2 linked regions of the Anolis sagrei genome follow. The protein of the gene in region 2 interacts with the protein of the main gene of each other region in a pairwise test. Links are inferred from orthologs where the notes say so. Each region holds a gene or a part of one and is shown on either strand. Other genes may lie near its edges. The genes, in order: NUB1 and SNCAIP.

What was found.
Region 1: the proteins of SNCAIP (region 2) and NUB1 interact in a two-hybrid assay, tested with the Homo sapiens proteins (2 studies listed by BioGRID). The link is inferred for Anolis sagrei from reciprocal best matches to the Homo sapiens genes SNCAIP and NUB1.

What each region holds. Positions count from the first base shown.
Region 1 is NC_090026.1:122,454,893-122,470,965, forward strand, and holds the start of NUB1 (NEDD8 ultimate buster 1), read right to left. Parts: upstream 6,152-16,073; 5' UTR 6,006-6,151; intron 1-6,005. Other genes in the region: C6H9orf152 (uncharacterized protein C9orf152 homolog), read right to left, coding at 12,514-13,046. UniProt on the Homo sapiens protein: Specific down-regulator of the NEDD8 conjugation system. Recruits NEDD8, UBD, and their conjugates to the proteasome for degradation. Isoform 1 promotes the degradation of NEDD8 more efficiently than isoform 2.
Region 2 is NC_090022.1:240,221,530-240,236,744, forward strand, and holds the start of SNCAIP (synphilin-1), read right to left. Parts: upstream 5,717-15,215; 5' UTR 5,701-5,716; intron 5,621-5,700; exon of another isoform or gene 5,457-5,620; intron 5,385-5,456; exon of another isoform or gene 5,180-5,384; 5' UTR 4,918-5,179; intron 1-4,917. UniProt on the Homo sapiens protein: Isoform 2 inhibits the ubiquitin ligase activity of SIAH1 and inhibits proteasomal degradation of target proteins. Isoform 2 inhibits autoubiquitination and proteasomal degradation of SIAH1, and thereby increases cellular levels of SIAH.

The sequences.
Region 1 (16,073 bases), on a different chromosome or scaffold from region 2:
AACTATTCCCGCCAAATGTGGTAGAAACATAAAGAATAAGTCTCCTTGGAACTTGGTTAGGAGATTGTATTTATGCAGAAGATTATGCCTCTTTAAAAGTGACTATCACGAAAGCTACAAGTGACTTAGACCTTATCTCTCCTGGGATGCAACAGTTGTGAAAGAGTGTAATGTTGTTCAATCTTTGTTTGGCCTGTTCTTATAACAATATTAAATTATGATGCTTTATATTTCTGGTATCAATAAAGTTTAAGCTCCAGGCTGCCAGCCAAGCATATTTCTAGCAGAAAATAAAAATGAAATGGAAGTCATAAAGAACATTATACAAGCAAACACAACATTCATCTGAGGCTGAGTAAGAAATAATCAATAAATATGGAACAGATGTTTGCTAATGATTTATCATGATGTTTTTATTTGCTCATATAACTGCTCTCCTCATGTAAACCATTTTTATAAGAAGCCCCTGACAGGTTAAAATCATATTCTGGCAAGAGTCTAATGCGTGCACTTGTAAATTGGATTAACAGATAAAATGCTCATTTAACAGATGCTGGGGTCAAACGCAGCTCCGTCTCTTTACTAAAATAATAGTTATTTTATTGCACAAATCTAATCAAATTTAAATCCTAGCAAGGCTTTACATACCTGGTGAAATGAAACCTAAGAATGAAATTAGAATCAGCATAATATGGTGGTTTATATGATAGACTAAAATGTATTGGTTTCATGCTCAATACCTGACTGAGCCATGAAACTCAGGTGACCTTCGTTCACTCTCTCAACCTGACATCCTTTGCAGGGCTTTTTTGTGAGGAGATGAACTGTCTATCTACCTCATCTTCTGGTCCAGTGATTTAAACCCGTATACTGGCAGGACTGAAGACCAACAGGTCAGAGGTTTGAATCCGGGGAGAGTGTGGATGAGCTCCCTCTGTCAGCTCCAGCTCCCCATGCAGGGACATGAGAGAAGCCTCCCACAAAGATGGTTAAACATCAAAACATCCAGGCTTTCCATGGGCAACATCCTTGCAGACGGCCAATTTTCTCACACCAAAAGCGACTTGCAGTTTTTCAAGTCGCTCCTGACATGAAAAAAAAATCTTGTGCTTATTGGAAAAAAAGAATATCTAACTGAGAATATAGTCAAATAAACAGAGAAAGAGATGTTAGATCTTCAAGTAATGAAGAAACAAAGATTTTCAAAGCACCTACAGAAGTCTTCAGAGCTACTATTAAAAGACCTGTTGACAAGTTTGGCACAAACAAGATGAAAATGAAGGTTTCAAAGACAGCAATCTTTAAATCGCTTTTTGGAGCAAAATCCACCATCCTGAAGAGGAAGTGGTCTAAGGACTACAGCTGTCACTGCTTCTCCTTGCCATCTCCACCATGTTTGCCACATTTAAGCATCTGCCAAGGATCTCAGCACAGCCGGAGCTGCTGCCAGGTTTTACAGATGTAGCCAATGAAAGCCGACCAATATTTTGGTATTTCTGGAGTTCTGATATGAGTAGGAAGCCAGGAAAAGCAACTCCTGGTTCCTTCATATAGACTTTCACTATCAGTACCATATGGATAAGCAGAAGGTCAGTGGCTTAGCTTTGTTCAATTTCCCCACAAAAGCCCCTTTCAGCCAAATCTGTAGCCTTCTCGCTTGGCATCGCCATTTCTCTTTGAGCCAAATCGGGAAAACAGAAAGCAAAGCTCACTGAGGAACGGAGGGATTCCCAAGCAGCTGGTGACGGGGAGAGAAGGAATCCTCTCTTCCAGAAAACCAGAATAAATTAAAGGAGAAAAATAAAACTATTTGTAAAAAGACCTCGATGTGGAGCCTCTTAAAGATTCATTTTACGGCTGCTAGAAGATCTGGCAAAGATCTTTAAACATTGCCATCTGCTGCTTGGGACGTGGCAGTAAAACAGATTCATTAGTTTTGCTTTCAGTAGTATTTGGTTCATACACATTTATCACATGGCCACAGAGAGGGGGGGAAAGAAAGCAAAATACATTGTGAAAGCATAACATGAGCAAATTTAAAAAGGGGGGTGACTTCATAAGGAAACTAGTAAAGCAGATGCACCCAAGTTTCCATAACATGATTTGCTAGGGAAAGCTTGCAAAATATCTCAACCACTTGTGTAACATCTATGCTATTGTTTTTATAATGATTTTCTGTATTTGGCCCAAGGAATACTCTGTATAAAGACCTCCACCATACTCCTAGGTAGAATACTCCACTGCCGAAAAGCTCTTACCATTATTAGGAAATTCTTTTGAATGTTTAGGTGGAAACCTTTTTCCTGCAATTTGAATCCATTGCTCCATTGTGTCCTAGTCTCTACATTCTGGAGCAGAGAGTTCCACTGCTGAACAGCTCTCACAGTCAGGAAGTTCTTCCTAATGTTCAGGTGGAAGCTCCTTTCCTGTAATTTGAAGTCATTGTTCCGCATCCTAATCTCCAGGGCAGCAGAAAACAAGTTCACTCCCTCCTCCCTATGACTTCCTCTCACATATTTATACATTGTCCTCATCATGTCTCCTTTCAACCTTCTCTTCTTCAGGCTAACATGTCTAGCTCTTCAAACCACTCCTCATAGGGCTTGTTTTCCAGACCCTTGATCATTTGGGTTGTCCTCCTCTGAACACATTCCAGTTTGTCAACATTTCCCTTCAATTGTGGTGCCTAGAATTGGACACAGTGTGATTCCAGTTGTGGTCTGACCAAGGCGGAATAGAGCAGTAGCATGACTTCCCTGGATCTAGGCACTAGACTCCTATTGATGCAGGCCAAAATTCCATTAGCCTTTTTTGCTGCCACAGGACATTGTTGGCTCATGTTCACCTTCCTGTCCATGAGGACTCCAAGAGCCAGGCATGCTGTATCTTTGCATTTCATTTTTTTCTGCCTAAGTGGAGTATCTTGCATTTGTCCCCGTTGAACTTCATTTTTGGCCCTTCCACACAGCCATATAACCCAGAATATCACGGCAGAATAATAATAATAATAATAATAATAATAATAATAATAATAATATAAAACTTTATTTATACCCCGCTCCATCTCCCCCAGAGGGACTTGGTGAGGCTTACATGAGGCCACACCCAACAGTATAACACACAACAATATAACACAAAAAACATAAAATGCAAAACAATGTAATAAGCAACACAACAATATAAAATCAGACATTAAAACACAAAAGATTTAGCTGGCCAGGGCCAAATTCAGGATAAAATTTTAAAACACTGGGAGATAGGACAATGTCAAACATCGAGAGGAGGATCCAACAATAATAATAATAACAACAACCCACAATATCTGCTTTGAAATGGATTATCTGAGTCCACACTGCTATATATTCCAGTTTAAAGAAAACAATGTGGGATTTTATTCAGCTGTATAGAAGGGGCCCTCTCTCTAATCTGTTTTGCCCTATATCTCTAATCTGTTAAGATGGTTTTGAATTCTGCTTCTGTCTTCTGGAGTATTGGCTATCCCTCTCAACTTGGTGTCATCTACAAACTTGAGGATCATGCCTTCTAACCCTTCATCTAAGTCATTAATAAAGATGTTGGACAGAACCGGGCCCAGTTTACCTGTCCGAACGTATTCTCCCCTATGAACCATCAAGATTGCTAAGATCGCCTGGAGGGGCCCTGCTCTTGGTCCCACCAGCATCACAAGCGCATCTGGTGGGGAGGAGGGACAGGGCCTTCTCGGTGGTGGCCCCTCGACTCTGGAACTCCCTTCCACTGGAGATCAGAATGACCCCCTCTATCTTGACATTCAGAAAACAGGTGAAAACTTGGCTCTGGAAACTGGCATTCGAAGAATGAGTCAAGTCCTGTGATATGGGTGGATGTCGACGATTTATGACTTTATGATGACGACTGACCATTGTAATTATATGATTGTATTTGTTTTTAATGTCTTAGTGTAATCTGGAATACGATGTTTTTAATGATTGTTGTAATATTGTTGTTGGAAACCGGCCTGAGTCCCTCGATGGAGGTGAGAAGACCGGTATACAAAACTGCTAAATAAATAAATAAAGGCACTCCACTTATCACTTATTTCCAGGATGAAGAGGAAGCCTGGGTGAGAATTACCCTCTGGGTTCGTTCACTTAACCAATTTACAGATCCATCTAACCGTAATTTTGCCTAGCTCACATCTGACTAGTAAATAAAATCCACTGGACTATTTGGTCCCCATACCCCATATATCCCCATACCAAAAAAGGGAAATGCGAAAGACTGCACAAACTTCCGTACAGTGGCCCTTATGTCTCATGCCAGTAAGGTAATGCTCAAGATCCTGCAAGGAAGACTCCAACAATACATGGAGCGAGAGTTGCCAGATGTTCAAGCTGGGTTTAGAAAAGGCAGAAGAACGAGAGACCAGATTGCCAATATCCGCTGGATAATGGAGAAAGGCAGGGAGTTTCAGAAAAACATCTATTTCTGCTTCATTGACTATTCCAAAGCCTTTGACTGTGTGGATCATAATAAACTGTGGCAAGTTCTTGGTGGAATGGGCATACCAAGCCACCTTCCCTCTCTCCTGAGGAATCTGTACAAGGACCAAGTAGCAACAGTCAGAACTGACCACGGAACAACAGACTGGTTCAAGATTGGGAAAGGCGTACGGCAAGGCTGCATCCTCTCACCCAACCTTTTTAACGTGTATGCAGAACACATCATGCGATGTGCGGGGCTGGATGAATGCAAAGCTGGGGTGAAAATTGCTGGAAGAAACATTAACAACCTCAGACATGCAGATGACACCACTCTGATGGCCGAAAGCGAGGAGGAGCCGAGGAGCCTTCTAATCAAGGTGAAAGAAGAGAGCGCAAAAGCCGGGTTGCAGCTAAACATCAAAAAAACCAAGATTATGGCAACAAGAATGATTGACAACTGGAAAACAGAGGGAGAAAATGTGGAGGCCGTGACAGACTTTGTATTTCTAGGTGCAAAGATTACGGCAGATGCAGACTGTGGCCAGGAAATCAGAAGACGCTTACTTCTTGGGAGGAGAGCAATGTCCAGTCTCGATAAAATAGTGAAGAGTAGAGACATCAGACTGGCAACAAAGATCCATTGCCTAGTCAAAGCCATGGTATTCCCTGTAGTCACCTACGGATGTGAGAGCTGGACCTTAGGGAAGGCTGAGCGAAGGAAGATCGATGCTTTTGAACTGTGGTGCTGGAGGAAAGTCCTGAGAGTGCCTTGGACTGCGAGAAGATCCAACCAGTCCATCCTCCAGGAAATAAAGCCCGACTGCTCATTGGAAGGAAGGATACTAGAGACAAAGTTGAAGTACTTTGGCCACATCATGAGGAGACAGCAAAGCCTGGAGAAGACAATTATGCTGGGGAAAGTGGAAGGCAAAAGGAAGAGGGGCCAACCAAGGACAAGATGGATGGATGGCATCCTTGAAGTGACTGGACTGACCTTGAAGGAGCTGGGGGTGGTGACGGCCGACAGGGAGCTCTGGCGTGGGCTGGTCCATGAGGTCACGAAGAGTCGGAGACGACTGAACGAATGAACAACAACAATTTGGTGTACACGAGATATAAATTAATGCCAGGCTTTGACTTGGGTTACATGACTTGGGTTACTTTGACTTGGGGGTTACATCCCCCAAATATCCCAAGATCTGTATAAAGGACAGCATTTTACTGTGCTGATGTATCTAGGGCAGGCCTGGGCCAACTTGGGCCTTCCAGGTGTTTTGGACTCCAACTCCCACCATTCCTGACAGCCTCAGGCCCCTTCCTTTCCCCCCTCAGCCGCTTAAGCGGCTGAGGGGGGAAAGGAAAGGGCCTGAGGCTGTCAGGAATGGTGGGAATTGGAGTCCAAAACACCTGGAAGGCCCAAGTTGGCTCAGGCCTGTGTTAGAGTATCCAAACCTCACCTCCCAATAGAAGGAGAAGGATAAACAAGGCCTTGTGACTTCAAGAAGGCCTTGTTTGTCCCCCTTTCCCCTTCCTATCACTCACCTGCTTGACTCCAGCTTGCTCTGTGTCTTTCAGGCCTGCCCGCCTCCTGACTGACTGACGAAGCTTCGTCACATCACAACCGAAAGCCAAAACACACCAACTGAAAGGGAGGGAGAATGGCCTGCCGTCACGTGATCACACAGAGCGACGCCCCGCCCACTCAGGCCCCCGTTGGGTTCTGGGTCTCGTAGTTGAGCCAGGCGCGCTGAGCGTTCTAAGCCCGCTTCCCTGGACTCCACTTCCCAGCATGCCGTTCGGTGAATTGATCAGTATGGGGAGTGGAAAGTGGAATGCATAGCCTTATAGTGATGTAGTAGTGTGAGCATGTTGGGAAGAATAGGAGTTTGGCTGCCATGGCTCAAGGCTAAGGGAGTCTTGGGATTGGTAAAGACCTTGTAAAACTACCATTCATCATCCATAATATTTGAGTACTTGGAAGTGGTGTCAAAGTGTGCTAATTCCACAGTGTAGATGCACCCTAAGATGCCTTTGGAGCAGGCATCCAGGTGTTTTGGGCTTCAACTCCCACAATTCCTAAATGATGTTAAAAAATAAAAGAAATAAGCATTGGGAACATATTTAGGCATTTGCTATGTTTTATTTATTTGTTTAGGACATTTATATGCATTATCAATTATATATATAAATGATCTGTGCATAATGAGTTCCTTAGAAACAAAAGAACCAATGAACGAAATCACACCAAACAATGTCTCACAACACAAGGTGTAACCATCACTCAAAAATTTATGATTTTGTCATTTGGGAGTTGTAGTTGCTGGAATTTATAGTTTACCTACAATCAAAGAGCATTCTGAACTCCACCAATGATGGGATTGGGCCATACTTAGCACACAGGGCTCCCATGACCAACAGACAAAACTGGAAGGGTTTGGTGGGCATTGACCTTGAGTTTTGGAGTTGTAGTTCACCTACATCTAGAGAGCACTGTGGACACAAACAATGATGGATCTGGACCAAACTTGGCACAAGCACTCAATACGCCCAAATATGAACACAGATGGAGTTTGGGGAAAATAGACCTTGACATTTGGGAGTTGTAGTTACTGGGATTTATAGTTCACCTACAATCAAAGAGCATTCTGAACTCCACCAATGATGGAATTTAACCAAACATGGCATATAGGACTTCATGACAAACAGAACACACTGAAAGGGTTTGGTGGGCATTGACCTTGAGTTTGGGAATTATAGTTCACCCACATCCAGAGAACACTGTGGACTCAAACAATGATGGATCTGGACCAAACTTGGCACGAATATTCCATATGCCTAAATATGAACACAGATGGAGTTTAAGGGAAATAGACCTTGACATTTGGGAGTTGTAGTTGCTAGGATTTATAGCTCACCTACAATCAAGTAGCATTCTGAACCCCACCAAAGACAGAAGTGGGGCAAACTTCCCACACTGAACCCTCATGACCAACAGAAAATACTGTGTTTTCTGGTAGTCTTTGGCAACCCTTCTGACACCCCCTCGCAACCCCCCCCCCCCAGGGGTCCCAAACCCGAGGTTGAGAAATGCTGCCTTAAGGCCATCCAGTCCAACTCCCTTCACCAGGGCAAGAAAACATAATCAAAGCCCTCCTGACAAAGGGCCACCCAGCCATTCACACACATATATGTATATGACAGATTCAGTATCAAAGATTTGAAAGGGACCCCTAAAGAAGGATAATGATATGCTGGATGTTCCAGAGTAGGCAAACCAGATATCAAAGAAACAGCAAGGAATACTGTTTACCCACAAGCATAAATAAATTACATATATTAGAAACCAACATTTTCTCATGGCTTTATTTTCCAGATCAACAGACTGGGCCACAGCAACGCGTGGCAGGGGACAGCTAGTTTATTATAAATCTTTATAAATTTACATATATGGAGCCCCCGGTGGTGCAGTGGGTTAAAGCGCTGAGTTGTTGAGCTTGTTGACCGAAAGGTAGCAGTTCCATTCCGGGGAGCAGCGTGAGCTTCCGCTGTCAGCCCTAGCTTCTGCCAACCTAGCAGTTCGAAAACATGCAAATGTCAGCAGATCAATAGGTACCGCTCCGGCAGGAAGGTAACGGCTCTCCATGCAGTCATGCCAGCCACATGACCTTGGAGGTGTCTATGGACAACGCCGGCTCTTCGGCTTAGAAATGGAAATGAGCACCAACCCCCAGAGTCGGACACGACCACACCCCAGAGTCAGACACAACTGGACTTAATGTCAGGGGACTACCTTTTACCTATATGTGTGTGTGTGTGTGTGTGTGTGTGTATAAATAAATATAATGTTCATTTGTGGGATTCACATAACTCAAAAACCACTGGGCGAATTGACACCAAATTTGGACACAATGCTCTTATCAGGTTAATGAGTGACCATCACATTAAAACTCTGAAAAACACAGCGGAAGAGACTTTAAAAGCCAAAAAATAAAAAATACATTACAACGCATGCGCTAAACCACATATATACACATATACACAAATTTATACACACACATATACACAGACTGGGCCACAGCAATGCATGGCAGGGGACGGCTAGTGTGTGTGTGTGTGTGTGTGTGTGTGTGTGTATATATATATATATATATATATATACACATATATATACACACACACATATATATTATATAGTATATTAATAATACTATGTAACATGATTTTTCTTCCCAGGTTATCAATGTCATTTCCTAATTGCTTCTATCACAAAAACTTGGGAAAAGTTTATTAAACTGCAAACACTTTGTATTGTCGAAGGCTTTCATGGCCGGAATCACTGGGTTGCTGTAAGATTTTTGGGCTGTATGACCATGTTCCAGATGCAGGCAAAACGTCAGGAGATAATGTTTCTAGAAAATGGCCATACAGGCTAGAAAACTTAGAGCAACCCATTTCTGTCTGGAAGAGAGATGCTTTTGAACTGTGATGGAGGAAAATTCTGAGAGTGCCTTGGACTGCATGAAGATCCAACTAGTCCATACTTCAGGAAATAAAGGCTGACTGCTCATTGAAGGGAAGGATAGTAGAGGCAAAGTTGAAGTACATTGGCCACATGATTAAAAGACAGGAAAGCTAAGAGAAGACAATGATGCTGGGGGGAAAGGAAGAGGGGCCGACCAAGGGCAAGATGGATGGATGGTATCCTTGAAATGACTGGCTTGACTCTGAAGGAACTGGGGGTGGTGATGGCCGACAGGAAGCTCTGGCGTGGCTGGTCCATGAGGTCACAAAGTGTCGGAAGCGAATGAACAAATAAACAACAAACAACAACAACTTCTGTCTTAGGGCCTTCTCGGTGGTGGGCCCCCGGCTGTGGAACTCCCTCCCTGCTGACATCAGACAGGCGCCCTCCCTTATGGCCTTTCGTAAGGGCCTGAAGACATGGCTTTTCGAGATGGCATTCAACTGAGTGCTATGTTACTGGAAATGACAACCGGAATGGATTACGACTACGAGATTGATTATGATTCCATGATAAGACGGAGCGGATTATTTTAGTATAATTAGATGTTGTGTATTAGTAATATGTTAGTTCTGTTGTCTTGGCTTATTGTAAATTGTCTTTTATGTGCTGTACACCGCCACGAGTCGCCCTAGGGCTGAGAGCGGCGGTTAATAAATGCAGGAAATAAATAAATAAATAAATTAGTGCCTGTGAGTGTTTTTGAATGGCAAGTTTTGAACAACTGTGGATTCATCTACACTGTAGGATTAATGCAGTTTGGCACCACTTTAACTGCCATGGCTCAATGATATGGAATCTTGGATGTTATGGCTTTACAAGGTTTTTAGTTTTCTCTGCCAACGAGTGATGACACCTCATCAAACGACAATTTCCATGGTCCTATAGGATTTAGCCATAGCTATTAAAGTGGTGTCAAGCTGTATTACTTCAACAGTGTAGAAGTACCGTGAGAATGCTATTACTACGCGAGATGTAATTGAATGTCAATACTTTGTTTTTGCGGGACATCCTGCATCACATTTTGCTCTAGTTTTTCAATGAATAGCTCATTGAGTCTCAACCAATTCAACCTAGTTTGTGGCAGTCACAAAAATAAAGTTTCTGGAGTATAATGACTCCTTTCAAAGTAAGTTCCACACAATTAAAGAGGAAATAACACTTTCAAACTAGGAACAGATTTTTCCCCCAAAATTTTATTACATAGTGTAATAGGATTGATAGTAATAGGAAGCTCATTGGAATGTTACGCGACCAGATATCACAAAGCATTGCTATTGTGTTTATTTATATCCTGCTTTTATCTCACAGCAACTCACAGCATTTAAAGAGAACAATGCAATTCAAAATCTATAGCATACAAATGGTATATATTTAGCAGGAGGATTCATAATCATAAAACAGTACATATTAATATAGTTCTTCATTTGGCATCACTTATTGTGACTTCAGTCTGCAAATTAACAGCATAATCTTACAGTTTATGAATTCCACTGAGTTCAATTGAGTTTTTTCCTTAGTTGATACTTAGGATTACACTATAAAGCAGGTATGGGCAAACTTGGGCCTTCTAGGTACTTTGGACTTCAACTCCCACAACTGCTGGAAGTTTGGCCATGCCTGCTGTAAAGCAACATTTGGCTCAGCTCATTTTGTTCTTCTTTGGACACATTCCAGCCTGTCCGTATCTTTCTTGAATTGTGCTGCCTAGAACTGGACAAAGCTTCATTCAACAGATCTGAACAAAACAAAACAGATCACTCCTTTATCTCTACACTATACTGCTACTGATGCAGCCTAGTGCCCATCCAGACAGTATCTTTATCCCAGGAGCTTCCGCAACAAACAGGAGGGTGGCCAGACACCATTCTCTGTAAGCACGGAAGCAATCACTTCAAAAGGCAAAAAACATGAGATTTCCTGGTGTGGAATATTGCTGTTTTAAGTCGAATATGCAGATCTTTGCATATCTGCAATCAGAAATCATGGGATATTTTTATTAGAGTTTGTTCCTGGGTTTTAGATGTTTGTTCCTGATTGGTTGGTTCCTAAAAAGAAGGTGACAACTGAGTAGAAGGCAAAAAATTGTTTGTGTGCCAGAAACTTCATGAAATATGTGCAGGGCACATTTTCTCTTACTAGGACAAAGAACAGAACTCTTGAGGTTTTCATCTTGGGAGCCTCTAAATCTTGCAACAAAGCATCAAGTCTGGATAATGGAGGCAGAAATCCTGGGACCAACTACTTCTGAATTCCCAAGATTTTTTTGCCCCTGTTTAAAACCCGTAATTTAGTGCTGTCTTGGAGCACCCTTAGAGTCGTGTTGGCCTTTTTAGCTGCTGCATCACACCATTGACTCATGTTCAACTTGTTGTCCACTAAGACTCCTAAATCCTTTTCACAGGGACTGTTTTTAAGTCAAGTGTCACCCATCCCATATAAATTTCATAGAAGCATAGAATTATAGAGTTGGGAGAGACCTCATGGGCCATCCAGTCCAACCCCATTCTGCCAAGAAGCAGGAATATTGCATTCAAATCACCCCTGACAGTTGGCCACCCAGCCTCTGTTTAAAAACCTCCAAAGAAGGAGCCTCCACCACACTCCGGGGCAGAGAGTTCCACTGCTGAACGGCTCTCACAGTCAGGAAATTCTTCCTCATGTTCAGATGGAATCTCCTCTCTTGTAGTTTGAAGCTATTCTTCCACGTCCTAATCTCCAGGGCAGCAGAAAACAAGCTTGCTTCCTCCTCCCTGTGACTTCCTCTCACATATTTATACATGGCTATCATATCTCCTCTCAACTTTCTGTTTTCAGGCTAAACATGCCCAGCTCCTTAAGCTGCTCCTCATAGGGCTTGTTCTCCACACCCTTGATCATTTCATTTTTATTGCCTAGCTGTGGTACTGTACAAATATTTCTCCTTGTTAAAATTAATTTTGTTAGTTTTGGACAGATTCTCCAATCAGTTAAAGTTATTTTGGATTCTAATCCTATCTTCTGGTGTATGGTGTCATCATTACTGAAGAGGCTGGTGTTAAAGATAAATAACCATTGTTAATTGCTTTGCATCAAACTGCTAATTTTTAGCTAAATTGTTAAATTGCTGTATACTGACAGCACCTCAGAGGAGGGAAGGGTGAGCCAAAAGCAAGGATGGAAGAGCTTTGTAACAACAACAGCAACAGCAACTGCTCTATAATACATATAAAAACAGCTCACAGTTCTGAAGGGAATTATATTCCTTCCTGGGTGTTGTGTTGTGTGTGGATTTCAAAAACCTCTGTATAAAACTGCTGCCTTGCTCTGTGTGGTACTTTGCACAGGCACAGGACTCGCTCCTTAGTTACTTCTGCAGAATAGAACTATTGTAATTATAATCTCCTCGATTACTAGTCTTAATTGGGAACACAGACTAGCTATTAAAGCATGGTGCCTCTACATTTGCTATCGTTCCCGATTCGGTTGCCCATATCCAACAGAACTGAACATACAGTTCCCTCCTTACAGATGGAAGAACCTGGCTCCTCATTGGGAAACATACAGTCCAAGTCTTCTGGCAGCTTCAGAAATCTTGCGAGTCTTTTTCTGGGGGAAAGGATAATAGGGCAACTTATTGGATGATGGTGCCAGTTTTGAGGCTGACATTTGTGAATGTGTCCAAGTCACTGGTGTGAAAGATGGATTGGAGTTATATGTCTTTTCAACAGGGCTTGGATTTTCCTGCTCACTCAGGAGCCCCATGGATTGTTCACAACTTGTTAATGATTCTTCACATATCACACTTTCCTCCTGAGATAGTTTTCTGCCAATGTCAACTTGTTCATTCTTGTTTTGCAGAACATCACAAGGGATTATTTTTCTTTGTTCTCCTTGTTCAAGGCGGTGGAGCTCTAGGTGTATCCTCCATGGTGAACTATCTTGTATGTTTTCACCAAGGGGCAGATCAAGGCAGACTTCTTTGACAGGAACCCATTCTTTGGATGCTTTCCCCCCTTTCGCTTTCTTGTTAATTATAACAGGGTTGACCATAGATTCTTTAGCAATGGTCTCGTCATCACCTGTGGGGAAAAATGACATTTTTTCATTGGAAAACGGGGAATAGATTCTAAGCAGTAGTAAAGAGAAAACAAAAGTAATAAAGACCAAACAAAAGTGGGAAGATTTATAAACAAAAGAGAAGAAATGTGTACATTGTGGATGTAAAAACATGTATGCACCATTAGAATATGGAGAAAGTAAATGGGATTTTTCTCTCTCTATTTCTTAATCCACAAGAGGAGAACATGGAGTCATTTACTGAGGCCGAATGGTATGAAATTAATACATAAGCCAGTAGATCTTTTGCTGCTGCTAGGGTGTTTTTCCTTCTGAAAAACCAGTAACTATCTGGATACTTATGTATGTATTGTGCATGTAGGGCAGATGTTTTGCTCATATTACACATATATAATTGCACTAGCTACCTAAGATTATCAGCTTCATGTCTGAAGTTTGCTGTATCATAGTTTGTTTGTTTTTAAGCTAATTACATATTCTCATATTATGTACACAACTGGGGAGAACACAGAAGCTGTCCATCATGATACATAATATGTCAAGCTGTTTAGAAAGGATCACGATGACACAATTTGATAATTACTAACACAGAGAGCGACATTCTCGCTTAGTTACATATTAAAATCTAGGAACAGGAAGAGCTATTTGTTTTGTTTTCACATGGCTGCCTTTTGCCTTGACATTCAGTAAAACTTCAAGGTGAACCTGAGCCAGTTCAGAGGTTCTTAAAGTGATTGGTTGTTGCTGCTTGCATGTTTTAGTTAAATCAGTGTTTACATATCCTTCTATCTTATATTTAGAATGTGATCACTTTCAGATTATGTTGTTATCTTTTACTCAGAAATGAATTTCAATTGGCTTAATGAAGTTTGCTCTCAAATAAGTGTGAATAGATTGCTACTTATCATGGTTACTGATGGCAGATATCACTATGTAATGCAATTTTTATTCTTGGGTTATAAATGTCATTTCCTAACTAGTTCTATTATAAAAACGTGGAAAAGGTTTAGTAAACCGCAAAATTTTAATTTTTGCAGGACATTCTTCAGCACATTTTGCTATAGTTTTCCAATGAAGATCTCACAGAGTCTCGACCAATTCAACATAGTTTGTGGCAGCCACAAAGATGAAGTTTCTGGAGTATAACAACTACTTTCAAAGCAAGTACTGCACAACTGAACAGGAATTACACTTTCAAACCAGGAACAGAACATTTTTCAAATTTTGTTACATAGTGAGTCAATAAACACACTACTGGTTGTGTCCTAGAACAGTGGTTCTCTAACTTCCTAATACCATGACCCCTTAATACAGTTCCTCATGTTGTGATGATCCCCAACTATCAAATTATTTTCGTTGGTACTTCATAATTGTAATTTTGCTAATGTTATGAATTGTAATGTAAATATCTGATATGCAAGATTTATTTTCATTCACTGGACCAAATTCGGCACAAATACCCGATTTGCCCAAATTTGAATACTGTTTGGGTTGGGGGAGAGGATTGATTTTGTCTTTTGGGAGTTGCAGTTGCTGGGATTTGTAGTTCACCTACAATCAAAGAGCATTCTGAGTTCCACCAACGATGGAATTGAACCAAACTTGACACACAGAATTCCCATGACCAACAGAAAATACTGGAAGGGTTTGGTGGGCATTGACCTTGAGTTTTGGAGTTGTAGTTCACCTACATCCAGAGAGCAATGTGGACTCAAACTATGATAGATCTGGACCAAATATTCAATATGCCAAAATTTGAAAACTGGTGGAGTTTGGGGAAAATAGACTTTGACATTTCAGTGTTGTAGTTACTGGGATTTATAGTTCACAAAACCCCCATGACCATCAGAAAATACTGTGCTTTCAGATGGTCTGTGGCAACCTCTGACATGCCCTCGTGATCCCCCAGGTTGAGAAACGCTGTCCTAGAAGAATAAAAGTTGCTATCAGACGTGTGGATAAAATTTGAGCTTGTTGGATTTAGTACTTCTTTTTTTACAAATTAGAAATGCAAAGAACTAGATATGAAGAAGTGATAATTATAAAGACAATATTTAAAAAATGGTGCTCCATAGAACAGAACAAGTTACAGTATACCATGAATCATAAATGCAGATAATAAAGACTCGGTCCCATGAGAAAGGGAATTTTCATTTTCGTTTAACACTGGGATTTTCATAGAGATCCCAATGGCAATTATTAACCTAAAGAAGAGGGAAGTATAAGGGAATTAATGCATAAAGATGAGAAAGCAAGAAAAGGGATTTTTTTTGGGTGGATGACACATGGAATTGTCAAATAAATTATACAGCTCATTTTTTTTATCTGTCTAAAGTTCAAACAGGGACAAGTAATATCAGGGATGGGACTCATCACTTTTAAACTGGTAATGCTTTTAGTAGATCATCACAACTTTAAATGCTAATTTGAATGTCATTGTTTGAAATATGCTTGTTCAACACAAATAAATCTGAATGCTAATGTGTTTTTAACCCTTTTTCATATCTGGAAGCACTATGCGCTATTCCATCTGAAAGCACTCCTATATTTACTCCCTTCCCACATTGGAACAAATATCATGGAAGCAAATGAACGTATGTGGAATCAGCCTTAGGTTTTAGGGATGTAAGGGTGCTGGTTGAAGTTGCAGGTAATCGCTGGATAGGAAGAGAAATTTTCAAATTAAGTAGCACTGGAGGAAAAGGGCATTTTATTTTGTATTTGTAAATATAATGTGGCATCGAGCTGTAACCAATCTCAGGTGGCATCAGGCTTCCTGGGTTCATCTCGAAGATGGTTATATGTTTATTGTGCTTATGCCGCATTGCTATACCTAAATGCTAGGAGCGAAGGGGGAAATGGTTGTGTGCACGCACTAAGGCCCATTGCACCATAAGGAACAAGGAAGGAAAATGGATAGCTTGTTTTGCAGCTCATGAGCTTTGACATTTAGACAACCCTGAAGACTGGTGCCAAACCTTCAACATGCATCTTAGGTTAAACCCTATGGGATGCAAGCCCCAGTGTAG
Region 2 (15,215 bases):
ATACTTATTGTGCAGTACATCTGGAAGGGACTAAGTTGGAGAAAGCTGACCTAGATCTTTGACACACTTTTTGAATTCAACAGGGTAGTGAAATATGTTGAACAGCAACTAATCTACTCTAGGTGTCCTTGAGAACATGCCTGACAGATACATCACACTCAATTTCTGGGCTACATAAAATATGGCATAATAGTGTCAACCTCCTTTCTGACTCATCTGAGCATTCACTGCTAATTCCTTTGAGCATCTTAGGTTTTTAACTCCAATGGGAAAACTCCCTTGAACTAAACTATGCAGGCAATGTAGATAAGGAGCAACACATTAAAGTGGAATCTAGAAAGTAGGACTTCTCTGGGATATGCAGTAGAGTCTCGCTTATCCAACCTTCGCTCATTCAACATTCTGTATTATCCAACAAAGTCTGCCTCCTGCCCAGATCCACAGCTGTTTAAATACATTGTGATGTTTTGGTGCTAAATTTGTAAATACAGTAATTACTCCATATTGTTACCATGTATTGAACTACTTTTTCTTAGAGTCCCAGTGGCGCAGTGGGTTAAACCCTTGTGCTGGTGGCGCAGTGGGTTAAACCAACAGGTTGCAGGTTCGAATCCAAGGAGAGTGCGGATGAGCTCCCTCTGTCAGCTCTGGCTCCCCATGTGGGGAAAGGAGAGAAGCCTCCTACATGGATGGTAAAACATCAAAACACCCTGGGCAACGTCCTTGCAGATGGCCAATTCTCTCACACCAGAAGCAACTTGCAGTTTCTCAAGTTGCTCCTGACATGAAAAAAAAACCCTGCTGTTTTTGATGATTTGTTGTAAAACATGATGTTTTGGTGCTTAATTTGTAAAATCGTAACATAATTTGATGTTTAATAGGCTTTTCCTTAATGCCTCCTTATTATCCAACATTTCTGCTTATCCAACGTTCTGCCGCTCCGTTTATGTTGGATAAGTGGCAAATCTCTGCTTAGTTACATGCAGAACACATGGAGTTTTAAATGAGTGTAACCAGGCACCAGACTAGAGGTGGTGGTTTGTGCCAACATCTTTTCCTTTTTTTTAATCACAGAAGGAAATCTATTTCCACTTTGCTTTAAATTCTAAAATGTGTAAGCTGAATATATGCAACATTCAAAGGCATGTTTCCCAGCACTGAAAAGAGAAATTTCCACTGGGTTCATGTTTCAAGGAGAAATGGCACTGAAACAAATCTCACCATGGCACTTGAGAGAACTGACATCATGCTATATGGTTAAAATACTAATAAAGCCATTCCGAGCCAGCCCGAGTTTCATTAAGAAAGCTGGCTGCTCCTTTGCTTTTATTCTTTCTGGTTCTCTGATGGATACCTGTCAACCACAGTCTGCTTACGTTTTTATTGCTCACTTTGAAAACCCAGCAAGCAGAAAACAACAGCAGGGCGACCGCATCACCCTCATGCAAGCAAGACAAGAGAAAAAAAACAAAGATAACATTCAAGGCTTTTGCTCCAGTTACACTGAAATTGTCAACAGTGTGTATTTCTGAAGACAATTTCTTCACTGCCCACAGAGAGTCTGTAAAGAATGCCAGCATTTCCTGTGGAAACTAGGGTTGAGATATATATATATATATATATATATATATATATATATATATATATCTGCCACCAATTTCCTCCCCCATTTTATGTTCAAAGGCATAAATAGACACAACATGGCATTTTGACAAAAGCAACTGGTTCAACTGTCCTCACTACCTTGCAGGTCTTAAAGAAAGAAAGAAAAGATCACAGAGAGAGAGAGAACGATGGGAAGTTAAATGGCTAAAAGGAAAAAGCCAGCATTCCAGCAGAGGCTGCAAAGAGGCTCTTGACACAAGGGTGACCCAAGAGAAAGGCGGCTGAGAAGATGTCAGGGACAGGAGTTACACCTCGAGGTGGGAAGAAAGGGGCTCCCACCTGAGTGATTTTCCTTTGAAATCAGGCAGAGATTCATCCCACCTCCCCCTCCTTTTCCAAAGCGGTGCTTATTTCTAGGTGGGATTCAGTACACACACAGGTGATTCAAAGCAGCTTCCGCATCTTTATTTCCCAGGAGGTGATTGATCTGCCTGGGCTCTGGAATTACATTGACCCTCTACTAGGGAAGGACACATCTATTCTGGCTCCCTATGGGGGTGCATCCACACCCTGTAGAATGAGAGCAGTTGCACGCCGCGTATGCTGCCATGGCTTAATGCTATGGGACCTGGGAGTTGTAGTTTTAATAAACCTTCTCTGCCAATGAAGGCTGGTGCCACATCAAACTGCATATCCCAGGATTCCACAGCATTAAGCCATGGCAGTGAGAGAGTGTCAAACTGAATTCAGTGTAGATCGGGCATGGACAAACTTGGGCCCTCCAGGTGTTTTGGACTTCAACTCCCACAATTCCCAACAGCCTCAGGCTGAGGGCAAAAAGGAAAGGGCCTGAGGCTGTTAGGAATTGTGGGAATTGGAGTCCAAAACACATGGAGGGCTGAAGTTTGGCCATGTCTGGTGTAGGTGCACTCAAAATCTCTCTCTCTTTCTGTATGTATCTGTACATGTGTGTGTGAGGGAGACACTTGCAGTGTGCATCTACACATTACAAGAATCAATGCAGTTTGGCCCCTCTTTCACTGCCATGGCTCAATGTTGTTGAATTCTGTGAGTTGTAGTTTTACAAGCTCTTCAGCTTCCTCTGCCAAAGAGCATGAGTGCCTCCTGAAACTGCAGGGCCCCATAGTGTTGAGCCCTGTCAGTTCAAGCAGTGTAAAGCTGTGTTCATTCTATAGCATAGACATGTACTATGCGCAGGAAAAACTTTGGAAAACTACAACTTCCTTGAGTCCTGTAGTATTTCATTGTGGAAATTCCAAGTAGTGTCAAACTGCATTCAATCTATGGTGTGGATGACACCCTTTGGCAGAGAAGACCTTGTAAAACTGCAACTTCCGGGATTCCACAGCATTGAGCCATGGCAATTAAAGTGGAGCCATGCTGCATTTATTTAAAGCAGGCCTCGGCAAACTTCGGCCCTCCAGGTGTTTTGGACTCCAACTCCCAAAATTCCTAACAACCTACCAGCTGCTAGGAATTGTGGGAGTTAGAGTCCAAATATCTGGAGGGCTGAAGTTTGCCCAGGGCTGTTCTACAGCATAGATGCACCCTGTAACAGTGATAAATGTAAGATATTCCACTGAGGCAGAAGAAATGAAATGCAAAGATACAGAATGAGGGACGCCTGGCTTGACAGCAGTTCGTGTGAAAAAGATCTTGGAGTCCTCGTGGACAACAAGTTAAACATGAGCCAAACAATGTCAAGCAACATCTTTAAAAGCCAATGGGAGTTTGTCCTGCATAAATAGGAGTCTGGTGTCTAACTCCGGGGAAGTCATGCTACCTCTATTCTGCTTTGGTTAGACCATGCCTGGAATACTGTTTCCAGTTCTGAGCACTGCAATTGAAGCTGGAATGTGTTCAGAGGAGGGCAACTAAAATGATCAAGGGTCTGGAGAACAACCATATGAGGAGAGGCTTAAAGAGTTGGGCATGTTTAGTCTTCAGAAGAGAAGGCTGAGTGGAGATATGATGACCATGTATAAATATGTGAAGGAAGTCACAGGGAGGAGGGAGCAAGCTTGTTTTCTGCTGCCCTGAAGACTAGGACAAGGAGCATTAGCTTCAAACTACAAGAAAGGTGATTCCACCTGAACATGAGGAAGAGCGGTTCAGCAGGAGAACTCTCTGCCACAGAGTGTGGCGGAGGCTCCTTCTTTGGAGGCTTTTAAACAGAGGCTGGATGGTCATCTGTCAGGGGTGCTTTGAATGTGATTTTCCTGCTTCTTGGCAGAAAGGGGTTGGACTGGATGGCCCACAAGGTCTCTTCCAACTCTATGATTCTCTCATTCCAAGACCTTGTAAAACTGCAATTCCCAGTATTCCACAACATTGTGCCATGGCAGTTAAAATGGAGTCATGCTGCATTCATTCTATGGTAGACATGGGCAAACGTCAGCCCTTCAGGTGTTTTGGACTTGAACTCCCACAATTCCTAAAAGACTCAGGCCCCTTCCTCCCCCCACCCCTCAGTTTCTTAGGAAAGGGTCTGAGGCTGTTAGGAATTGTGGGAGTTCAAGTCCAAAACACCTGGAGGGCCGAAGTTTGCCCATGTCTAGTGTAGATCCACTCAAAATCAGCCTTCAAAGTGTTTTGGATTCCAACTCCCACAATTCCTAACAGCCTCAGGATTCGACAGCATTGAGCCATGGCAGTGAAAGAGGGGCCAAACTGCATTGATTCTTGCAGTGTGTAGATGTACTCTGAGTATGTCTCTCACACACATGCACAGATACAGAAAGAGAGATGTTCAGTACAGCTACAACAGGCATGGCCAAACTTCAGCCCTCCAGGTGTTTTGGACTTCAACTCCCACAATTCCTAACAGCCTCAGGCCCCTTCCTTTCCCCCCTCAGCCTGAGGCTGTTAGGAATTGTGGGAGTTAGAGTTCAAAACACCGGGAGGGCCCAAGTTTGCCCATGCCTGTCCTACAGCATAGATACACCCTATAAGCCTCTCTCTTTCTCCATCTGTTTTTACATATTTATATGACAGAGAGAGAGGGAGACAGACACACCTCTTCCCTGTTTCCGACGGTGTCTCTATCCCATTCGGGGCGTCCAGACTTCCCCAAAGCCTCTTGGCTGGAAGGCAGGCAAAGGCAAAGGCGCTCCCCGACCAGGCGAGGCGAGGGAGATCCCTCAGCTACCCGAGGGGCTGTTCCAGGGACCCGCATGTCTAGTAGAGCCGCAGCGTTACTATAGAGACCTCCCGGTGGAGCCCTCGCCCAGCCGCGCCCGCAGCAGAGCCGCCCGGGAGTCCCGACCCAGCCCGGTCCCTTCCAAAACTTGCCTTGCTTTGCCTTGCCTGGAGGGAGAAGTGGCACTCAGCGGAGCTCACCTCGCCGCCGGGGAGCTCCTGCTGCTTCTGCCTCCGCCTCTCGGTTCCTGCTCCGGGCTGCTGCCGTCTGGCTGGAGGGGAGCGCGCCGGGCCAGGAGGCTCGGGGACCAGCGCCGGCTCTCTCTCTCTCTCTCTCTCTCTCTCTCTCTCTCTCGCCTTGCTTGCGTCACAATGAAGCCGAGGCCATTCCCCACCGCGGGGATTCGGGGGGCTGCTGCCGAAGAGGAGGAGGAAAGGAGGAAAAGGGGGGGGGGTGAAGCACGTGACTTCAAAGGGAGGCCCGGAGGGAGGAGGAGGATGAAGAAGGCGATGGTGAAGGGGCAGGGGACCTCGCTGGTTTACTCCAAGCGAGGCAAGCTGACGAGCTGGATGCTGACATGACTTGCACCCCCTCCCCTTTCCGCGCCTCCTCCTCCGCAAGACCCCTCCTCAGTGTTGAGACACACACACGCCGCCCTCCCTCCCTCCCTCCCTCTCTCGTGTGCACGCACACTTCGGGTTTGACTCCCACCGCACACAACCCTCGCTCTTTCTCTGGGCTTCCCTCGTCTCTTCCTCTCCGACACGCATTCCTTCGCTCTCTCTCTCTCTTAGTCTCCCCCTTTGCCTTTCTTCTTCTTCTTCCTCCTTCTCCTCCTCTCTCTCTCTCTCTCTTTCACGCCCCCCTTTCCTCCTGCCACGCTCCCCACGTGGGTGAGTCCGAACCACGCTTTCTCTCCATCCTCTGACACTTACTCCTCGCCATCCCCTTCTGGCTGGGCACTCAGCCCTTAGCTGTCTCTCTCCTCCTCCCCCCCCCCCCCCACACACACACTTTCCATGCTTGACCCTAATGCTCCCCTCCCCTTTTATACATCTCCCTTCCCCCTCCCCTTTCTGCGCTAGGCATTTCCCCTCTTGGCACTCCCCTTAGGTCTTTCCATGCTTGCCACTAATGTCCACCTCCCCATTTCTTCCTGGTCCAGTCTGTAATACATCTCCCTCTCCCCCTTTCCCCACTTTTCAACAACATCCCTCCCTGTGTTGGCCAAGGCTTTGATGGCCAGAATGTCCCCAGTGGATCAATGGGTTAAACCAGATATGGATAAGCCAAGGGGGGGGGGGGGGGGGGGCTTTCCTCTCTCTCACCATCCTATCCCTCTTTCCTTCTCTCTTTCTTTCCTTCTTCCCTCCCTCCCTCCCTTCCTTACTTGCCTTTTTCTCCTTCCATCCTTCTTTCCTTTCCACCCTTCAGTCCCTCTTTCCTTCCCCCTTCCTTCTCTTTCACCTTCCTTCCTTCTCTTTCCATCTCTTTCCTCTCTCCCTCTCTCCATTTCCTTCCACCCTTCCTTCCCTCCATCCTTCTCTTCCTTCCTTCCTTCTCTTTTTCCTTCCTCCTTTCCTCCTGAGGGATGTTTAGCTGGGAGAAGGGAAGGTGGAGAGGGAACCTGAGAACCATGTTTCAAGATTTTAACGGGTGTCTCACTGAGGAGGAGAAGAAGGGGGAAAACTGACTTTCTACTGCTCTAGAGACCAGGGCACAAGGGAGCAGTAGGTTCAAATGGCAGGGAAAAAGATTCCACTGAAGAACTTCCTGAGAGTAAGAGCAGTTGGAGAGTTGCATAGGCTGCCTCGTGGTGTGGTGGAGTTTCCTTCTCTGGAGGCTTTTCCGCAGAGGCTGTCTATTGGGAGTGTTTTGATTGTACCTTCCTACATGGCAGGGCGTTGGACTGGATGGCCCCTGGGGGTCTTTTTCAACTCTAGGATTCTGTATCAGGAGTAGGCAATACAGAATGGATACACTTTTTCTCTCCTGTCCACATCAAATCCTGACCAAGACCAACCCCTTTGGGATCCAAATGTTTCCTGTCTTTCCTTCACTTTCTGCCTCCAGAAGAGAAGAGGAAGGGAAGGAAAGAGCAGGGAAGGGTTTAGCATTTTGCATTTAATGGCCTTGCAGCTTCAGAGCCTAGCTGATTCCCATCTGGGCACCACAACTGAAGGGAGATATTGACAAGCTGGAATGTGTCCAGAGGAGGGCGATGAAAAGGATCAAGGGTCTGGAGAACAAGCCCTATGAGAAGCGGCTTAAAGAGCTGGGCATGTTTAGCCTGCAGAAGAGAAGGCTGAGAGGAGACATGATAAAGGACATGTATAAATACATGAGAGGAAGTCATAGGGAGGAGGGAGCAAACTTGTTTTCTGCTGCCCTGGAGACCAGGACGCAATGGAACAATGGCTTCAAACTACAAGAAAGGAGATTCCATCTGAACATTAGGAAGAACTTCCTGACTGTGGAACTCTGTCCCAGAGGGAGTGTGGTGGAGGATCCTTCTTTGGAGGCTTTTAAGCAGAGGCTGGATGGCCATCTGTCGGGGGTACTTTGAATGCAATTTTCCTGCTTCTTGGGCAGGGGTTGGACTGGATGGCCCATGAGGTCTCTTCCAACTCTTTGATTCTATGATTCTATCTCCAAGCAGGACTGATGGATAACATTCTACTGATTCTATGGGGGAATCCTGGGTTGGAAGCTATGAGGGAATATGTGAGGCACTACAGATTACTTCAGAAGTCAGAAGTACTACAGATTACTTCAGAAGTCAGCCATAACAGAGCACCTGATGAACCAACTTGGACACAGCATATTATTTGAGAACACAAAAATACTGGACCACTCTAACAACCACCATGTCACGCTACACAAAAGCCACTGAATCCACAAGCATGTGGACATTTTCAACAGAAAGGAGGAAACCATGAAAATGAACAACATCTGGCTACCAGTATTAAAAAAAACTCTAAAATTGGGACAGTAAAGAAAAATACGTCACTCAAAAACAGAGGAATTCCAGAAAAGAAACAATCAGGGCCAGCTAACATCTCCCAATAAAGAATTCCCCCAGGGGCAACCAGCCAAGCTTTGAAGCTGCAAGGCTTTTCAGTGCTAATCAAGGTGATTAATTACAACATTCACTCTTGCCTCCAACAGACATGAGTTCTTTCTCCCACCCTGGACCTTCCACAGATATATAAACCTCCCTTGTCTAGTTTCCAATATACCTCACAATCTTTGAGGATGCCTGCCATAGATGTGGGTGAAACATCAGGAGAGAATGCTTCTGGAACATGGCTATACAGCCTTGAAAACTCACAGTAACCAAACATCCTCTTTTCGCGGTTCACTGCCCCCCCCCCCCATTATTAGCCCGTTTCAGGATTTTTCATCAATATTCCCCCCTATTCCCCCGTTCCAGTCTGTTATAATCTCCCCCTTCCCCCTTATTTGTCCCCCCCACCTACATTCCATGCTTTTCACTAATATCCCTCCTTTTCCCCTCTGGTCCAGTCTTTTATGCATGTCTCTGTCCCCCTCTTTTGTGCTTTTCACCAGTATTCCCGCCTCCCTTTTCTTTCTGGTTCAGTCTGTTATACGTTCTCTCCTATCCATTTCCCTCCCCTCATTTTGTGCTTTTCACCAATATGCTCCCCTTTTTCCTGGTCCTTTTTATGCTTCTCGTCAATATTCCTCCTTTTCTTCCTGGTTCTCTCTGTTATGCATCCCCTTCTTATCTGCCCCCCCCCCTTCACTGCTTTTTACAAATCTCCCCCTTCCCATATTTTATTTTCCTGGTGCAGTCTGTTGTACATCTTCCCTCCCCCCGTGAAGCGCTAAATGTATTAAAATCCTCACCGAGTGTGACATATTTATCATCTTTATTCCTGTCGACCGCAGGATTTATGAATGAGACGAGGGTTACCCAATGGAGAACTCATTTCTCTTCCTGCAGCTCTAAGGGACTCGTGGGGTTCCAAAAGGAAAGGAGGTGGATTCCCTCCGGTGAAGTCACTGCTGCACTATTCTGGGGAATGAGGCATCCCCTTCAAACAGAAGACATCCTCCAAACCTAATTAGCAGGATCGAGCGCCGTTCCCTGTGTTTTAATTAAGGACGTGTGGGCCTCCTCCAAGAGATGACAGCCTGCCCTCGACTGTGAGGAAATGACGGTCTTGGACTGTGTCCAAAATATCCTTCTGGCGAAACGGTTGGCAACGTGGTGTGGCCTCGGATGCTTCCACATGGCACTCTCCTTCCTGAGTGATTCACTCTCACCCCTCAGAATGGCTCCCGATATGGTCAGACACAGCTCCCGCCTACACGAGTGTCATTAGTAGAATGTCCTCTGAAAGATTGCTCCGAAAGATTGCACTTTTCAACAAGTTGCCATTTTGCTTTTGGACCTTCTCCCATGCAAGCTGCAAGAAGAAACTAATAAAACAACTCTTCACAAGCCACCCAAACAGTAGTTAAAGCCTACCACGTTGTTATCTGGCATATGTGGCAGAAAGTGCTGCTGCCATTATTATTATTATTATTATTATTATTATTATTATTATTATTATTATTATTGCCATGTTCCAGAAGCCTTATTTCCCGATGTTTCGCTCACATCTTTGGCAGATATCCTCAGAGGTTGGAGGGTCTGTTGGAAACTGGGCAAGTGAAGTTTATATATCTGCGGAATGTCCAGGGTGGAAGAAAGAACTCTTGTCTGCTTGAGGCAAGTATGAATGTTGCAAATGGCCTCCTTGATTAGCATTTAATGACCTTGCAGCTTCAAAGCCTGACTGCTTCCTACCTGGGAGAATCCTTTGTTACTTTGTGTAGTCTACCATGTCAGACTACACAGAAAAGCCATTGACATCCACAAGCATATGGATAATTTCAACAGAAAGGAGGAAACCATGAAAACCAACAAAATCTGGCTACCAGTATTTAAAAAAAAAACCCTCTGAAATCAGGGCAGTAAATAAAGAGCAACACTCAAAAAGCAGGGGAATGCCAGACAAGAATCAATCAGCTAACACCTCCCAAGCTAACACCTCCCAACAAAGTATTCCCCCAGGCAGTAACCAGTGGGGCTTCGAAACTGCGATGCCATTAAATGCTATTCAAGGTGGCCATTTGCAACATTCACACTTGCCTCAACAGACAAGAGTTCTTTCTTCCACCCTGGACATTCCACAGGTGTATAACCAATGGCCAATCTTGATAAAATCATGAAGAGTAGAGACATCACCCTGGCAACGAAGATCCACATAGTTAAAGCAATGGTGTTCCCTGTAGTAACCTATGGATGTGAGAGCTGGACCATAAGGAAGACTGAGCAAAGAAAGATAGATGCTTTTGAACTGCGTTTTGGAGGAAAATTCTGAGAGTGCTTGGACCACGAGAAGATCCAACCAGTCCATACTTCAGGAAATAAAGCCCGACTGCTCATTGGAGGAAAGGATATTAGAAGCAAAGATGAAGTACTTTGGCCACATCATGAGAAGACAGGAAAGCCTAGTGAAGACAATGATGCTGGAGAAAATGGAAGGAAAAAGGAAGAGGGGGCGACCAAGGGCAAGATGGATGGATGGTATCCTTGAAGTGACTGGCTTGACTCTGAAGGAGCTGGAGGTGGTGACGGCTGACAGGGAGCTCTGGCATGGGCTGGTCCATAAGGTCACAAAGAGTCGGAAGCAACTGAATAAATAAACAACCACAACAACATATAACCATCACTTGCCTAGTTTCCAACAGACCTCACAACCTCTGAGGATGCCTGCCATAGATGTGGGTAAAAAGTCAGGGGAGATGCTTCTGGAACATGGCCATACAGTCCAGAAAACTCACAGCAACCCAGAATAGTGTTGGGCTACAATTCTGGAGACCAAGATTCAAATCCCTGATTAGCCAACAAACCCACTGGGCAATTTCATGCAAATGCACTCTCTCAGGAGGAGGCAATGACAAAGTTGAACAAATCCCACCAAGAAAACCCCGTGACAGGTTCACTTTAGAATGGCAATGGGTTAGAAATGATTTGAAGGTACACAACAATGCCACCACAGGAGCATACCATTTGCTGCCCTTTTGTGACATTCAGCATCTGCTGCCTGAGGCTCCTGTCTCACTCAAGGGTAGGACCTGCCCTGTTTCCTCTTTCTTATGAAAATGCTGTAGAAATGAGGAGAGCAGGAAACATTACATTCATTGCTACACTTCTCTGTGCCTTTTGTTCTACTTTTATGTACGCAGTCAGGTTTGTGTGCCTCCAGTATATCGATGCACCAGAGCATATTGTGGAAAAACCTATCACATAACATAAGCTGCAAAGCCCTGCTTATGAATGCTTCTAAGCTGGAGCGGCATAGCTCTGAAATGGCTTAGCTATCTGCATCCACAGAATGTCATTGGAAAACCCATGTGTCTGGGGAAAATGAAGTGATTTAATTAAACAGCAGAGGAGCGCAACGATTGGCAGGGGGGTTCTCGGCTGTTCCCAGCACTAATCGACTGGGTTTCATGGAGGGGCACAATAGGGACTCAATACACTGGAGGGAAGGTTTAAAGCTAACTGTATCTACACATTAAAATGTGTGTGTGTGTATGTGAGAGGGAAAGAGACAGAGAGACAGAGTTCACCTGCTTGCATGTTTATAAGCTTGCTTGCTAGTATGTTTGCTACTGTAAGTATCAAAAGGGTGTATCTGCAATGTAGAATTGATGCAGCTTGACACCATCTTTGTTGGTCAAGTGGGCTTATTAACAAAAGACCCTCCTCATAAACGTATAGCAGAGTAATTTAATTAGTAGCAGCGTGACCCAGCACCAGTAGTCAAAAGCGAGGAACAGAACAAAAACACAGACCAATGTTATCTCTTCCTCTGGAGTCTTTATAGCAAAATAATATGGTTGCACTATTTACAAAAACAAGGTCTCTATAACACAAAGTCCTTTATACTTCCTTCTTTGCTTCCACACTGGGCTTCTTTCTCATGCAGATAAACAGCTTCTAGCTTCGCTCTCACAGAGCCTTCCCTCACATTGAACTTACACAGGAGCTTCACACAATAGCTTTTTACACATAGGCCTTCAAACTGGGGCTTTACACATGAGGCCTTACACCTGGGGCTTCTCTCACTGAAGCTTCTCACACCAGGCCTTCACACTAGGGCCTCTCACACTGAGTATTTGAGTTCAGTCTGTGATTGTGTCTATTGTTCAGGGTAATTTGGATATTGGGAATGACAATGAGGTTCATGTATCTAAAGATGAGGTTGCTATTGGTGTAGAGAATGACAAACGGGATTCCTGTTTGAAGTGTCTTTTCTGATGAGAATGTTCCTGAAAGGTTTGGGGATGATAGTATGGTTCCTGGAAGAGGGCCTGAATTGCTACCAGAGAATTCACATGACTTTGAGCCTGAGAATAGCTCGGCACCTGGGTCAGTGGCAGAAATTAATGAGCCAGTAGATAGAAGGGATGTTTTTTAGTCATTACAGATAAAAAAAACCCAATCTCTTAGGCATTCTGCCAGTCTCAGAGAGAGACTGATAACAGAGTCAAAGCTGAAACGAAACCCGTTCCTGGCTGCTTGGGACAATGAGTAAATTAGGGCATGAAAGTGCCAAGTACAGAATCTGTAGTTCAGATTAAGCATCATTGAAATTGAGTCAAGACACCTTTCCTGGTCCTTGGAAGCCTTGCCTGGATAGATTCACATGTTAAGTGCCTTTTTGATTCATGATTCAAGTTTTGGAGTTTTACCTTGGACGTTTCTGAATTTGTTTTTCATGAACTCTGATGGACTAATTCCCTGAATTATTGGTTCCTGCTTATCTTTCTACCTAATTGGATTTACCTATTTTTATGGTAAAGCTACTGCTTTTAAAATATCTACAATAAACTGCTTGCATTTCTATTCAGCTGTGTGGTATTTAAAGTCAGAGGGCTTTCTTGGCCTGGAGTGCAACACTGAGGCCTTCCTCATTCACTGAGGCCTTCTCACGGCCTGAGGCCCACTAAGCTACAGGCATCCATGCTTATATCGAACTGCAGCTTTTGCTGAGTCACTGCAGCAATTTAACCCTTTCAGTGCTTGACTCACATTTTTGTAATTAAAAATACCTAGTTATTTTTTAAATATTTCTGACAACTTTAACTGCCGGAGCTCAATGCAATGGAATCAATTGAGTTGTAGTTTGGTGAGGTACCAGCATTCTTTGGCAAACAAAGCTAAAGCCCTTGCAAAACTACAATTCTCATGATTCTGTAGAATTAGACCATCACAGTTAAAGTGGTATTTATTTATCGTGTCATCAGCAACCATTGTATTACAATTCCAACAGAGCAAAACAAACACAGAGATTAAAAAGAAAAAGAAAAAAAAAAGAAAGAAAAAAAAACCGGAGTTAAAGTGGTGTCAAGCTGCATTGATTCTAGAGTAGATGCACCCAAAGAGAGAAATATCAATTATCAGCTCTAGACCAACCTTCTGTCAGTACGAGCCTACCCCATCTCATAATCCATTAATGTGGCTTTTGGGAGGCAAACATTGTGCGCTGAACCTACAATGAGCCAAAAGATCACAGCTCCACTCAATGAAGGAACAGACTGATAAGTAACATGAAATAAGATGCAGGAGGCAGAAGAGATCAATGGGCAAGAAAAAGAATCTAAGAGTCAAAAGATCACAGCATAAAATAAATTTTATAAGGTTCTGGGGCAAATTTAGTAGGCTAAGGTTTTCCAATATGGAAAGCAATGACACCACAATTAGATGGTTTCTTTGTGCCATAGCTTTTACAACTACTGACTAACCCTCCCCAAAGCTACTGGTAATGTGATCCAAATGGAACTGTTAGTGATTGTTCAAATGTCATAAAGTGTTCATGAAGGACACTTCTTTCGAGATTAGTTGGTGGTAGCTAAGATATTCTCAATGCAATTGTATGGGTTTTTCAGAACCACACAGTACACACTCTCATGATGTCAGAAGCAACATTTCCTCAAGTTGTTTTTAAATATAATTTTGAAGACGTTTAATTCACCATGTATTTTGAACTAGCCATAGAAGGGAAAACTGGCTCTAGCATCTCTGAGGTTCTGAGAACATAAAAGGGTTAATAAAAAGTTTTGGAAACTGTGTTTGCAGTGCCAGATCAGATTGTAAATAAAAGGAGCTTATTTCCATCTGCAATTAATGAGTAGATGAGAATGATACTGTTTTGTTTGCTTCCAAATAAATATTGACTCTTCTGTTTATTTAGTTGGGATTATCTAGTACATCACTAGTGGCTGTTTTAATGAGGTGATTTAAGGTGGGGACAGAATAAATATATACAGAGAAATTTGCTCACCCCAACCCACTGTGCCTGCAGTCCCATCACCCCCCCCCCCCCACCCCACACACATGTGACAGAGATAGAAACCAGGACACATGTGGCCAAGCAACATAATTGTGCGGTCAAGATGGCAAAAGTTATTAACAAGGATGAGTGCAAAAGCTAGGAAAGGCTGCTGATTACTTTTATCCAACCTTACTGGGAAGAACAGAATTTTGCCCCCCTCCTTTCACCCCTGATGAGTGACATTTCCCCTTTGAATTAAGTTTGCACTGATGGAAGTAAGCTGAAGATAAAGGAGAAAGTGGAAGGAGGAGAATGGAAGGTGGGCATTTTACAAGCAAATGAAACAGTGAGATGACAGAGCATTATCACTGCCAAACTTGGACAGTTGGAGAGTGCGCCATTTATCCATACCTTTATTATTAATGGCAAAACTGCTACAAAGTTTCGTAGGTTCATTTTTGGCCATAAATCTCAGAACTGGACAAGCTGGTAAATGCTCTGATAATGTAAAGAAGTTTAGTATTCAGATTGATGCTCTGGGAGATCGAACAAATGTACTTATCTGAGGGATAGGAAGGGTCAGGTCAAAAGATTCAACCCAATCTGTTCATCAAAAGGGAATTGGGGGGGGGGGGGGGGGAGTAAAGTAGAAGTTCATTCTTAAAGATTTATAGAGGTATTTTCCTCTCTCTCCAGACCATACTAGATCTTCTGGTTGTAGAACCAACCAGAAGCAAAACAGAACAAGCTATTTTCCTTATGGTCCACTGCAGCCTGGGATTCTCCAACTGATTTTGACATAATGCCCAGTTTGCTTGCCCACAGGACATGTTATATAAGGCTGGATCTACACCGTTCTATATCCCAGGATAATCTGATCCCAGATTATCTGTTTATCCTAGATTATCTGGCAGTTTAGACTCATATAATCCAGTTCAAAGCAGATAATCAGCAATCAAATCCTGGGATGTAGGGCAGTGTAGATCTAGCCTGAGGCTTACTGGAGCTGAATTCCAAAATGTTTGGAAGATACCAATTGTGGAAGGATGCACTGGCCCTTCCTTTAGAACAAAAAAGAAGCTAATACTTCTAAA